Alligator mississippiensis: one gene and its partner. Each later gene encodes a partner of the first gene's protein in a complex. Links are inferred from orthologs where the notes say so. Each region holds a gene or a part of one and is shown on either strand. Other genes may lie near its edges.

Region 1 (7,495 bases):
TAGGGACCCTAATGACGCCAGTATGAGGTACTAAATAAATGCACATTAGGTTGTGCTAAGCGCTTTTTAGGTGACACTTAATGTGCAGTAGCCTATTCTATTGCACATTAACGCATTAGCCTGTTTTTTAAGCACTGCTTTAATACACAGTAGAATAGGCTACTGCATATTAAGACACACGTGTAGATGCCCCCAGTGAGCCCTGTAATCACCATACTTCAAAAGTTGTCCTTCAGAAATCAGCACCTTAGAACACAGTGTGACAACTGTGTCAGCATGTCACACACACTTTTCACTAGCTATAGACATTTTTTAATGCCACACAAGCCACACTTACAGGGACCTTAGATGCCACTTATCCTAACATTTTTACAGTTGTCTAATTTTTACAGGGTTGATCTCAAATAAAGAAAACCCAAAATGTACTTAAAAAACCCCCAAACCTCATGTTTTTTTTATCCAAGGTCATGATTCTTTGAATGTGGCAGCATTCAAATGTGGCAGCACTATCTTCATAATGTCTTCATACTGCAGACACAACACTGTGACATAAATGTTATACAACTTCAAGGCTTTCCAAGGCCTACCTTTGTTCAGTCTTGCAAACTCTCTGAAATGGCAGCCTCCTGATGCATAGGCTGATTGAGGTTCTGGAACCAGACGTATGTGGAGACATGTGGAAGGAAGCACTTTCACTCTTACAGAGGGCTAACAGTTTTTTTAATTTAAAGTTTTCCTGATCAAAAATATGGTTTTATTAAAAATACAATTTTTCATTTGAAACTGTCAGTTCTGATGAAAATAAATCTATTTTCCTGTGGGAAATCAACATTTGTATTCCAGTTTTCCATGATAAAAACTAAAAGTAATGTTTAATTTTACATAAAAGGGAGTTATTTTTTTTAATCCAAGTTATTTTAAATTGAAACAAATTAAAATGATAGTTTTATTTCTAAATTTCAGTTAAAAATAAAATTAAAAAAAAAATGGTTTGAAATGTCTTGCATCCCAGACCACATCTATTGGTTACTTCTTTCCCTTTCCCTGTATTTTGGCAGCCAAGAGTTTTAAGCAGACTCAGAGACACAATTTACCTGAGCTTTCGGTGTCTGATCTTGTCCCCCAGAAGCCTTCAGTGAGAGCATTTGCATTGACTGTAGCGGACACAGACCTAGTCCTTAGTACTGAGCCTGTGCTACAAATGGAAACCACGCCAGGAGCAGCTGGAAATGAGCTTGCTCTCTTGCCTGCTTCTTTCTGAGTCTTCACTATATCACTAAGCATGATGTGCTAAGTTCACACAGTAACTGCCCTGCTACAACAGCGGGCTGGGCCTACTGATAAGGGAGACCTGCTTGGATTAACTTTTGAAATCCTGAAACTAATTGATGCAACCATTTTCTGGGCCACTGAAAAAGTCAGCATATCAAATTTATTCATAGGGCGCCCCCTCACCACAAGATTTGAGCAATGCACATTGACTCTAAAATAGTTCATCTAGTGCTGTAATGGGTAAAAAGGGTCCCTTGTGCGGTCTTTAAATGACAGTGGAGTCGTCCAGTGTCTTTATCCACCTGGTTAGACTCCCACTGTCCCACACATACCTAATGTGCACACACATGTACAATTCTTCAGGCTGTCTTGGGTTGGCATATGTATTCAAAAAGTAATTATATTTGCTGGACCTCCAAACTAGAACATCCTTTTTTATGAATGCCATGTGGTTTGGGGAGTGTGGATACACCAGTATTCTGGACAGCTTTGGGCATCTTAGAATTAGAGGCAAAGGAGTTAAAAGATTTGCGGCAGATGGGTCTTTCATGCTGGAGTTCAAATCTTGGAGCTGCGGGGGGGTTGATTTTGGATGGTTGGAAAAAGAGGAACAGATGGGAGTGAAAGGATATTCATGAGCTCATCTTCCACACCTGAACCATTCATTCACCTACCTGATTTTGTCTGTACTATTTTGTCATTTTCTTTTAACCTGGTATGGTTTTACAAGAGGATTTTTGGGGTGATCCAAAGCACGCCAGCTTGGCCAGCCCTTTTGTAGAGGGTGCCCTGGCAGGTGGCAGGGTAGGAGGAAAAATCTGTTGGGATGAAAGAAGCAAGACTGCAGTTTGTTGTTATTTCAGATCAGGCCGTTCTTTGGTACAAATTCCAGGGCCCTGTAAAATTCCATAGCTGAGTTACACTAGGGGCAAACCAGGCCCATGATTTGCAGATTCTTGTTTGCTTCAGGGGGAACAAGTCTTAGCGGGAAGCCTGGGTGGTATCTGAAAGGAACCGTTACCCACACCTCCCGGGTGGGATGCCTTTCCTCTCCTCTCCCACACCCATTCTGCATGGTACTGCCCTTTGTTGATAAGGCTTATGTGTGTAGTTCTCCGAAGCAAGGTCTCTGAATTCCAAGCTGGTGCAAAATGTGTGTCACACAATGGGGAAGTGCTGAGTCCCAGCTTTGGTTACCTAATGCTCACTGTGAAGGCATATGGCACTGAGGGCCAGCTGTGGAGCATGTACCTGCAGCATTCTTTACAGAAGTGAGGTTCCTCAGTGCTTGTTCTGTCTGTGTGTATCATGCTCACTGCTGATGTGTGAGGCATGTGATTTTGTGTGTATGCAGTATGCATATGAGAGCTGCATTACAAAGGTACAGGGTACTCATTCCCAGTTTTATATTTGTGTTGGGTATCATAGGCACTCATTCTCCAGTTGTGCATATACGTATGTGTGTATGATGTGCACTGCAGAAATATGTTGAATTCAGTCTCTCAATCTTTCCAGTTGCTCTAGTATGAAATTCCTTGCATTTTGTGGATATTCTCCTTACCTGTGTTGCTCAGCCTTTCATTCTGTGCATAGCTAGTTTCTCACCAGTTATGGCCAGGCAGGAACATCAGAACCACAGATAATCAGAGATCTTTAAAATGTTACCCCATTCAAATAAAGTCTATTGTGAACAAAGCACTCTGGACAATAACATACTCTGTCAGTCCTAGTCTTGATCCTCAATTCACATACCATGTTTCTTGATGCCATAAGCATGAAACCACAGTCATTTTGAAGGGGGAGCATGTGTTTAAGATACATAGCCATTCTGGCATCTGGAAAGGCACAACCTTTATTGTTCAGCAGGAAAGCAACAGCAAAGAGAATTATAGGGAAGATTCTGTAAGCTATCATAAAGCCATCGACGCAGTCGAGGTAACTCAGGTAGAAATCATATGTTCTATTTCTTGCCTCTACCAACAGGAGTCACTGAAAGCCAAAAACATGGGGTATTGCAATGAGGGTGACTGGACCATAACAATAACTGACAAAAAAATGAATTAGTTGGGGTTACAGTGGCATCGATCCTGTCCTCTGTCTGGGGGTTAAGTTGGGACTGTCACAGGACACCCAAGGAGCATCAGAACTGTAGGCAGGTCTCACACGGTATTTAAAGACTTTGATGCAATTGTCCCCAGTATCTGCTACTAAAAGCTGTCCAGAAGTGGAACAAGTCAGACCTGTTGGTTTCCGTAGCCCTTCAGACACCAGGCAGATGGGAGAACCACTCTTGGGGAACAGGTGGACTGTTCGGTGCTGCTCATCAGCCACAAGGATGTTACCTTCTATGTCAGCACAGACCCCAGAAGGGTTGCCAAACTGATGCCCATATTTGCTGCCAAGAGAGTAAACCAACTTGTGCTGGTTATTAAACAGCTTGACATCACCGCATTCCTCACTTACAAGAAATCCACCATCAGGTCCCAGGCTGACATAACGGGGTCCACAAAGGTTAGAGACCGTGTGAGTACTCAGTATCTTAAAGGCATGGTCCAGTGCAAAGCTGTGGACTTTTCCTTGAGTGTAGTCTGTAACCAGAATTTTTCCTGATGAGTCCACTCCAATGCCCCTGGGGGAATTGACCTTCCCAATTTTTATCCATTCTCCTTTGGGGAACCTGGAGTGATGGCTGAAGACACAGATGGCTCTGTTCAACATGTCAGCTACAGCCACCATCCCTGACCTTGTCACTGTCACATCTTCTGGCAAAAAGGCCTCACTTTCCCTTCCCCACTCTATGCATGGCAGGAGCTGCTGAGTTTGGCCTGAGCAACTAAGGATGTGGACACAGGGTGCATTTTCACTAGTTATGTAGATAGAGCCATCCAGTGAGCAATGGATTCCACTTGGTCCCCCGTAACTGCTGCCATTGGGGTTGGGGATCTGCTGCACCAGGTTATTCTGTCGATAGTAGAGGAGATTTTTGATGTTGTCTAAGTCATGACAGATGCCTTTGACTTTCTCTGCCAGCTGGTGGACTTGGTGCTCTGTCACCATGCCCATCCCATGGTGGTTGCTCAGAAGTGGGCTTGCCTTCTGGAGTGTAGTGTCTGATTTCACCTGGAGGGCATAAACAGTCTTCAGAAGTTTTTCTTTATGATGGGTGGCCTCCAGAGTATAGTCCATGGCTAATCTCCCCCCTGTTTGGAAAAGGTAACACAACCATTACAGTCCTCATAGAGCTATACATTGTGAGGACAGACTCATTCCTTTGGTGCAATGGAGTCTTTCCAGAGTTACACCCATATAACTGATATCAGACTCCAGTCCCTTTTTTGATGTATATTAAGAAAAAAAGATAAACAAAGACTAAGTTATCCTTGCAGAGCGACATCTGGTTCTCTCTAAAGAATAGGGCACCATACTCTGCATTGGAGTACCATATTTTCTCACATACCACACCTCCCCAAATAGAAGATAGAATGAAGAAAAAAAGATTTTTCCAGACTTATGGCTGCATAATCACCAGCCTGCACCCTAAAAGTAAACATCTTTGTTTTTTGGTTGTCATGGGAGACTTCAACTACCCAGACATCTCGTGGGAAGAGCACTCGGCTAAATCCAAGTGGTCGCAAAGCTTCCTCTCATGCGTGGATGACCTCTGTCTGACACAAGAAGTCTACAGGCCAATGAGAGGTAAAGCGCTGCTTGACCTGGTACTGGCAACCAGAGATGACCTCATCGGTGACTTAACAATCGATGGGAAGCTGGGTGACAGCGACCATGAGCTGAATACCTTCACCATCTGCCGTAAAGCTGGCAAAACAGTCAACAATACAGAAGTCCTCGACTTCAGGAAAGCTGACTTTGAAAGGTCAGGAGGCTTGTTGGTGAGGCCCTAAGGGACCATGACCCAAAGGGGAGGGGAGTTCAGGAAGAGTGGTTGCTCCTCAACGGAGCAATCCTGGATGCACAAGCTAATGCTATTCCAGCTCAGAGGAAAGGCAGCAAAATGGCACAGCAGCCCCCTTGGCTCTCCAGGGAACTAGCAGACTTCCTGTGGAAAAAAGAAAGGCCTACAAAGGATGGAGGATGGGATCCACCTCCAAGGAGGAATATTCCGCACTGGTCCGGACTTGCAGGGAGTGAACAAGGAAAGCCAAGGTTGCAACTGAACTCCAACTAGCTACAAGTATCAAGGATAATAAAAAAGTCCTTTTTTAGATATGTGGGGAGCCAGAGGAACAGCAAGGGCAACATTGGATCCCTGCTAAACAAGAAGGGACAACTGACAACCGATGCCCAGCAAAAAGCCAACTTACTAAATGGGTACTTTGTGTCAGTCTTTCATCAATTCCACGGGATGCCCCTGCCCATTACAGGACAGGGAGGCCCAGGTGAGGGAGATTCATTGCCCTCCACCAATGCTGAACTTGTGAAGGAACACTTTGAGAGGCTGGACACCTTCAAGTCAGCCAGCCCTGAAAGTTTACACCCCAGGGTACTCAAGGAGTTGGCTAGCATCATAGTTCAGCTGCTGGCACGGATCTTCCAGAACTCTTGGTGCTCTGGTGAAGTGCCCGAAGATTGGAAGAAGGCCAATGTGGTGCCTATCTTCAAGAAAGGGAGGAAAGTGGATCTGGCAAACTACAGGCCCATCAGCCTGACCTCTATCCTGGGGAAGGTCTTAGAAAAAATCATCAAAGAGGCCATTCTCAAAGGACTGGCTGATGGCAACATCCTGAGGGATAGCCAGCACAGGTTTGTTGCGCGTAGGTCTTGCTTGACCAATCTTATTTCCTTTTATGACCAGGTGACCTATCACCTGGACAAGGCAGAGGAGACTGATATTGTATATCTTGACTTAAAAAAAGCCTTCAATCTAGTATCCCACGATCACCTCTTGGCAAAACTGGCCAACTGCGGCCTCAGGTCCACCATGATTCACTGGCTGAAGAATTGGCTCCGTGGTCGGACCCAGAGGGTGGTGGTTGATGGAAATCAATCATCGTGGTGCCCTGTGACCAGTGGGGTCCCTCAAAGCTCTGTTCTTGGGCTTATGTTGTTCAACATCTTCATTAATAATGTGGACATTGGAGTCAGAAGCAGACTGGCCAAGTTCGCCGATGATACCAAACTCTGGGGTAAAGCATCCACACCTGAGGACAGGAGGGCAATCTAGGCTGACCTTGACAGGCTCAGGAAATGGGCGGATGAGAACCTGATGGTGTTTAACACTGAAAAATGCAAGGGTCTCCACCTTGAGAGGAAAAACCTGCAGTATCCTTATAAGCTTGGCAGTGCTACGCTGGCTAGCACTACGGATGAAAGGGACTTGGGGGTCATGATTGACCACAAGATGAACACGAGTCTTCAATGTGATGCTGCAGCTAGTAAAGCAAGCAAAACGCTGGCTTGCATCCATAGATGCTTCTCAAGCAAATCTCAGGGTGTCATTCTCCTGTTGTACTTGGCCTTGGTGAGGCTGCAGCTGGAGTATTGCATCCAGTTTTGGGCTCCACAATTCAAAAAGGTTGTGGAGAAGCTTGAGAGAGTCCAGAGAAGAGCCACACACATGATCAGAGGTCAGGAAAAGAGACCTTACGGCAACAGGCTGAGAGTTATGGGACTCTTCAGCCTGGAAAAGCGCAGGCTCAGGGGCAATCTGGTGGCCACCTATAAGTTTATCAAGGGTGTTCACCAGGATCTGGGTGAGCGATTGTTCACCAGAGTGCCCCAAGGGATGACAAGGTTGAACAGTTACAAACTCCTGCAAGACCATTTCAGGCTGGACATAAGGAAGAATTTCTTTACTGTCTGAGCCCCCAAGGTCTGGAATTGCCTGCCATCGGAGGTGGTTCAAGCACCTACTCTGAACGCATTCAAGAGAAAATTGGATGTTTATCTTGCTGGGATCCTGTGACCCCAACTGACTTCCTGCCCCTGGGGCAGGGGGCTGGTCTCGATGATCTTCTGAGGTCCCTTCCAGCCCTAATGTCTATGAAATCTATGAAATCTGATGCCCACAGCTGGCTCCTGGCACTCGCTAATCACCAGCTCACTCATGCTGCCTTTCCTGCTTACCCAAAAGCTGAAACCTGAGCTGCTGCTAAAGACTGGTCTCCATGGATGGATCTATGATTTTGAAAAGAGCTAAAAACAGTCTGCAAGTCTGTGAAATAGAAGAAACGAAACCAGGAATAGCTAGCAGATAGCAAAATTG
Region 2 (6,839 bases), on another chromosome or scaffold:
GGTTAAGCTGTTCTAAACTGGCTTGTATGTCCAGATGCTTGCAGTTCAAACCACATTTTAAACGGTCTGTGTCTGTCAGTACCTTTTATAACCCTACACGCAATGCAACAAAAATTCCAGTTAGTAAAATACTTAATGAGAAATACAGGCTGTTCCTGAACCTAATGAAAACTAAATACAAGTATACTCATTCAGGGCACCTACAGGAGCCCACCTACTCTGACACAGGCTAATTAGCATGTGTCGGAACATGGGTCAGACACCTGTGTAGGTGCCCTGAATAAGTTCACTTGCATTTAGTATGGAGTCTGCTGGAGCATGCTAATTAGAGCTGGAGCTAGTCAGTGTGTGCTAATTAAGGCTCAATTAATGGAGCTGGATTAATTGAGTCTGCTGGAGTGTGTCTATTAGGTTGTCACATGTATTCAGAGTTCCCATACTTCAAAATGGTGGCAGGAGCCATGCTGAATATATAACATGATGTGGGTGTTTTAATGAGAGCGGCTCTCAGGAGTCACTTAATTAAAGTGCCCCCCCACCCCAGCGCATGTAAAGATGCCCTCAATGACTGACAACAGGATGCAAGTAAACATTAGGAATAAAAAACCAACCTGTAAAAGCATTAGATAAATTTATCTGGGGTTGTATATACCCAGGAGACCCCCTCTACCCATCCCTGCATAACTATCCCTTAAACTATAAGTACCATAACTGTTTACACAACACCACAGTGGATTTGATTTAAATCGTATCAATTTAAATCATGGCTGAAATCACAGGACAGGAAGCCTCAATTTAATCATTGTTTTCTACAAAAAGTGCATCCTTGTTGTTTGATATCCATTGTTTGAACAATGCTTCTTTGGGATAGTTCCCTTTATAGAGCGCGCGCGCGCACGAGAGCGCGCTTCCAGTTCCGCGTGTGGGAAAAGTAGTGGCCTAGAGATAGCAAAAAGTATGGTATACCACTGAATGAGGTTCTAGCTCATTCGAGTGCCAATCATATGGAAAGAAGTGCCTCTTTAAAGGTGTCTCAGTCTCAGTGTAGATTTCAGAACTGGTGTTGGCACTGGTGTGACAGCTTCTGGGTTGCTCTTGCCCCTTCTCTGCATTACCAGTACCCTTGCTCTCATCGCTTAACATTGCGACACTTAAAAGATTTTTCTTGGCTTGAGTTCACCTTATGGATGAACATGTCATATGCTCCAAGATGCACCTCAGACTTGGTACAGGTATATCACCTAGCACCTAAGGCCAACAGCACAGGATTCCTTTCCCGGGGTCAGCATCAATATTGCCTGTACCAATGTTACTCTAGTCAGAACTGCAGACCCTAGTATCAGAGCCAAAAGTATTGAGGGTTTTTTTTGTTTAATTTTCTCCTTTCTAAGATCAGGTATAATGCCTGCTTGCCAGAGCACTTTTTAAAGATATCCTCCAAGCAAGAACTGTGGACACTGCTTCCTGTACCAGACTAAATATGACCTTCACGAACTACTCCAAGGAGTGTGCATCACAAACCTCGTGTCTCTCAAGCAGCAGACAGAGCACTTGTTAGAGATGTACTTTTCTCTGAGGCAGAAAAAGATGTTTCCTGTGTCCACTGATAAGAGTAAAAAGGTCATCACAGGAAGGATAAGTTAAACTCCATGGTTTACAGGCCATGACACAGGAACAGCTGGTCACCCTACTGGCTTTTTTTTTTCCTGGATGTTCCATAGCAATTTTTGAATGAGAATTTAAAAAGAGGTCAACAGCTGTTTCTTCATAAACACCAAGTTCTCAGCTCAAGAAAAACAGAAACCCATGAGATACAGCCAAGGAGTTCTGTTGCTAACACTGGCAGTAAAATCACCCTGAGAGAAGGTGAAATCAACTCTGCTACCTACTCACAAGAGAGCATGAGGTGATAAAGATGATAAAGCCACAACAATTCAAAAAATTCCAAACTCATTCATGTGAGGGGCTTGCAAACCAACAGCAGACAAAGCTACTTGAACAACATGCTGTTCTGGTTCAGAAAAGATGTGAACATTTTCTCCCCCTCAGGCCCCTCCTCTGTGCTCACTTCCCCCCTCCCCCGAGTGGCTGGCCTCCCTCTCTGCCTACATTTTTCTCAGTTTGGCCTGGATCAGCAGGCTATAACACTTCCTGTTTAACAAAAAGCTGATCTGGGTTACAGAATCCTTTTCAGGAACCCATAACCAATGCAAAAAGCCAGAGTGGCTCAAGACAGCTTCTCAAAAAGCAGCATAATCTACTTTGCTCATCAAAATCTAGCAAGAGGCATTAAAATAAAAACAGCAAGGGAGAAGGTATTTCTCACTTAAACCCATCCTGGCACTAAGGTTGTTGGCTGTAGCCGTATTGGTCTAAGAACACAGGCAGACAAGGTTCTTTGGGTAGATGTGATCTCTTTTATTTGACCAACTAGATAGCTGGAAAAACTGCATTTAACCAGCTAGACAAGGCTCGATCTTTGGCTCAATCTGATGTCTTTTATTAGATCAACTTAAATAGTTGGAAAAACTTTTCTTAGCAAGCTTTTAGGTTTAAACCCTTCATCAGGTAAACACCATTTTACCAGCTACAATTATCACCAGGTCAACATTCCCCCTCCCCCAACCACCCTCCTGTCTCCCATTGTCATTCACACCTATTGTCTCCCATTCTCTCTGATCCTCCCTGCCAGGCATTTGCATTTGCACAGACCTGCTATCTGCACACTGGCTTCTCTTCTACCCAGGACAGCACACAAACACCAACAGACTCTCCCCATGCCTGAAGAAGGCTGCTTGTGCCCGACAGCTTGCAAAGAACAGTTTTGCAGGGTATTTAGTCGATCTAATAAAAGATAATCACATCTACACAAAGAAACTTTGGCCCTCACCGTTTTGCAAGATGCTGAATCGTATGGGGGGGAGGGGGAGAGGGGGAAGGATGCCCTGCCCCTTCAGCAGCTGCCTCTGCTAACCACAAACAGCTGTAGCCTGCAATCACCCCCACCACCAACTGCCCTTTAACCAGCACGGTACACCCCCTCACGCAAATCCCGGGGGAATTGTGCAATCCAGACCGGCCACACAGGCGAAGCCACCCATCGCACCCTAAAAACATCAGCCCGGCTCCCCAAACCGGGTTTGTAGAGGCCTAGTGACTAGAAGTAGCTTCCAACCATCTTTCACGCCAAGGCTTGCGGAAGCACCCGAGACCACAGGACCTCGGAGCCTCCGCCTGACCCGAGCAGCCCCTGCCTGCCTTCCTCCACGTGGCAAATGGGCTCCCCCACAGCCACGGGGCGTGGGGGCTGTAGCCAGATCCCACCTCAGCCTCGGCCCGGGCCCCAGCCCTGCGCGAAGCCAACACAACGTGAGGGGGGGGGAAGAGAGACAGGAAATGACAAACCGCCGCCCGCGGGACCCCTACTCACCGGCTCAAGGCTGAGACTCCCAGCAGCCGCTGCACCGCCGCTTCCCGCCCGCGCCGCCGTAAGGGACGGGTGGGGCTCCCGCGGCGCAGCACAACAACTCCGCCCCAGGCGCACGGACCCCTTCCCGCCACCCTATTGGCTGCCCGACTTCTGACGTCAGGAACGTAAAGCATCGATCTTCGCAGCGCCCCCGGGCTAAGGGGGGCGGGGTGGAATTGTGTTAGGTTTCACTCGCCTACGCAAAGGGCCAACCGCGGTTGTTCGCGCGAGAGGAGGGGGGAAAAAAAAGGCGGGGGAGGGTTCGGTTCTCTCGCGCATGCGCGGGTGGTGACGACACTTCTGTAAGGCGGTGAACAGAGGCAGCGGCAGGACGCTTATAGGCAGGGCATAACGGGCTGGGGTGACGTAGCCGATGTTACCAGCCGATTGGACGCGGGACGGCGCCTGCGCAGCGGCCTCCCCACCCTTTCTCCTTCGTCAGCTGGCTTCGACCCGAGGTGGTGACGTCAGTCCCCCGCGCGGAGGCGGGACCGGGCCGCCATGGTAGAGAACTCGCCGTCGCCGCTGCCCGAGCGCGCGCTCTACGGCTTCGTGCTCTTTCTCGCCGCTCAGTTCGGCTTCAGTAGGTGCCGCGGGGAGGCGAGGGCGGGGCCCGGCCGGGCAGACGCGGCCGGAGCTGGCCCCGCAGGGCCGGCGTTGCCGGGTGCACGATAATTATTCGGTTTCTCCGATAATTGGAACCCTTGTACGATGAGCACTCAGTAATGGTAATAAGCGTATTCAAAATGTCCGATCGTTTTTGAGGTAGCGGATGGATGCAGCAGATGCAAAACCCATGTCACTGTCGGGGAATTGTAAGTGATGTTTGGGTTCACTGTCAGCGCTCGCCTTACAATAAAGAAATGCTTCAACTTTTGACTTATTGGCGACTTACAGTGAGCAATATGAAGTAAAGAAGAAGGCTTATTTGCATATTTGTCACTGTACAATAGTTTTTCAGCAAATATGATAATTTACTATTTAGGACCTGGCAATGCTGTCCAGGACAACCCCAAGCTTTGCTTGGCCAGGCGGGCCCAGGTGCAAGCCCAGCTGGGTCTAGTCTGTGGCCCCTGTTTCAGCCACCTCTCCCTCCATGGTCCTCCCGCTCAGAGGGAGGAGGGTCTCTGTTGCTGAAATCGCCCCTTGCCCTGCCAGACTGCCTGCCTTAAGCCAGCCTCAGGTGCCCCGGTGAAGAGTGGTGCCTTGGACCTGCCTCTACACTTTATGCATGACCAGGACCTTGTTCCTCTGCTGCTGGGGTTTGCTGTTGGATAGATCAGGCAAAGCTGGGTCAAGATTGGGGAAGCCACATCTGAAGTCCTGCATCCAGTTTTGGGCCCCTGCTGCAGAAAGTAGATGGACAAGTTGGAGAGAGTCCAGCAGAGGGCAACAAAAATGGGTCAGAGGTTGGAGCACAGGACTTGTGAGGAGAAGCTGAGGGAATTAGGCTTATTTAGTCTGGAGAAGAGAAGACTGAGGGAAACTTGATAGCAGCCTTCAGCTACCTGAAAAGAGGTTTGAAAGAGGATAGAGCTTGACTGTTCTCAGTGGTGACAGATGACAGAACAAGGAGCACCAGTCTCAAGGTTCAGCAAGGGAAGTTTAGGTTAGATATTAGGAAAAACTCTCTCAGTAGGAGGGCAGTAAAACTTTGGAACAGGTTACCCAGAGAGGCGGTGGAAGCTCCATCCTTGGAGGTTTATAAGACCCGGCTAGACGAAGCTTTGGCTGGGATGATCTATTTGAGGGTGGTCCTGCTGTGAGCAGGGGGGTTGAACTAGATGATCTGTGGTCCCTTCCAGCCCTAATTTTCTATGATTCTATGAATCAACCCTTGTCTCTTTTTTTAGCTTTAAAGACTAATTTGGAGACCTATGAGATGTTACTCAAGTAGTTCTCAACCATGGGCTACTGTGACCCCTTTAGGAATGCTGCTGGAGTGTCATGCAAAGGTAGCACTCTTAGGTGCATGCACATGATTACCAAGATAAACCCAGTGACTTCAGACAGTAATCCAATGCATTTAAAATCATTCTGCCCCTGTTGTGGGCTTTCTGAGCTCTCTGCAGGAGAAGACTTGCTCAGTTGTCTTTCTGTAATTAAGAAAGGAGTAAAAGCTCAGCGTTGACATTTTCCAAGGGGTGCCTTGAGTCTAAATGGATGCAGGGGAGGGTGCCTCAAGTCTAAAAAAGGTTGAGAACTGCTAGGCTACTTCATAGCATCTGCCAAAATAAACTGTTGCCCTTGAAAGCCCAGGTTAGTTTCTGAGGCGCTGCCCTGCCTTCTACAAAGAGTTGTGTGCATGATGCTGTTTGTGGGGTTGTCCTTCTCCCTGATATTTTGGACATGCTGGTTAGAGGCTAGCGAAGCTCAAAAGGAGTAGTCAAATTTGTGGGTGATGAAACTGTTAACTGTTATTAGAGCAATTGGAGGTGTATCCTCTGGCATCTCTAAACCAATGATGGTAGATGCCAGGGATAGGATGTCTATCACGCCAGACCAGGCTGGTCAAAACGTTGAACATCAAGTGGATCACAACTCTGCCCACCTCTAGACCATACTGTTGCCGCCACAGGATCCTGGCCCTAGAGCAGCTCCCATCCTGCCACACACCCTGCCAGCACTACTGGGGCCAGTCTCCATGGAAACCCTGGTCACACACTGTCATAGGCCCACAGCTGCTGGGATCTCCACGGAAATGGGCCACAGCATGCTGGAAAATAGAATCCAGCCACCGGCTAGATCCACCATTTTGCCCACCTCTGCTTTAGACATACCTGTTCCAGCCTTTAGATTTATCCCTCTAAAGCATCCACTCCTTTATCCATCAGAGGCAAGATACGAGTCATTGGACTAACCCAATATGGCATTTATGGTCTAGTAAGGCCTTATGGGAACTACTGCTGTAGAGCAAGTTGTCATTCATTATTTGAATGATTTCTAATGACACTACTGTAAGTGCTTAGAACTGGGGGGTTTTTTAATTCTGAAATAATGTTTATTTTACCATTGTGATCAAAATACTAACTTCACTTCTTCTGTACAGTGCTATACCTTGTGTGGGCATATGTTCCTGAATCCTGGTTATTCTCATTGGGACTAACATACTGGCCTCAAAAGTAGGTTCAAATCATTTAGTTTATAAAACTATCCTTGTAAAAATACTTGATAGTCTTTGAACCTTTTTTTTTCAAATAACAAAACTAGAAATGTACCAGTGCTATTTATGTAGCATAATAGGTCTTGCATTTCATCCAGTTTGAAAAAGAAGACTTACTATTGTTCCTCTGACAGACAACTGGAGTATTTTTGCAAAAACTACCCTCCACAAATAATAATTTGCCCTGAAAAATTATCACTGAGCTAA

Evidence for each region. Proteins that work in one complex are often made in the same cells at the same time.
Region 2: PIGQ (region 1) and PIGP share a complex: the UniProt entries of both Homo sapiens proteins name them as parts of the glycosylphosphatidylinositol-N-acetylglucosaminyltransferase (GPI-GnT) complex. The link is inferred for Alligator mississippiensis from reciprocal best matches to the Homo sapiens genes PIGQ and PIGP.

Annotation. Positions count from the first base shown.
Region 1 is NC_081836.1:27,004,334-27,011,828, reverse strand, and holds the start of PIGQ (phosphatidylinositol N-acetylglucosaminyltransferase subunit Q), read right to left. Parts: upstream 3,009-7,495; 5' UTR 1,152-3,008; coding exon 1,095-1,151; intron 1-1,094. Other genes in the region: NHLRC4 (NHL-repeat-containing protein 4), read right to left, coding at 3,343-4,458. UniProt on the Homo sapiens protein: Part of the glycosylphosphatidylinositol-N-acetylglucosaminyltransferase (GPI-GnT) complex that catalyzes the transfer of N-acetylglucosamine from UDP-N-acetylglucosamine to phosphatidylinositol and participates in the first step of GPI biosynthesis.
Region 2 is NC_081824.1:295,040,196-295,047,034, reverse strand, and holds the start of PIGP (phosphatidylinositol N-acetylglucosaminyltransferase subunit P), read left to right. Parts: upstream 1-3,822; 5' UTR 3,823-3,970; coding exon 3,971-4,052; intron 4,053-4,058; exon of another isoform or gene 4,059-4,241; coding exon of another isoform or gene 4,242-4,284; intron 4,285-5,322; exon of another isoform or gene 5,323-5,375; coding exon of another isoform or gene 5,376-5,424; intron 5,425-6,518; coding exon 6,519-6,591; intron 6,592-6,839. UniProt on the Homo sapiens protein: Part of the glycosylphosphatidylinositol-N-acetylglucosaminyltransferase (GPI-GnT) complex that catalyzes the transfer of N-acetylglucosamine from UDP-N-acetylglucosamine to phosphatidylinositol and participates in the first step of GPI biosynthesis.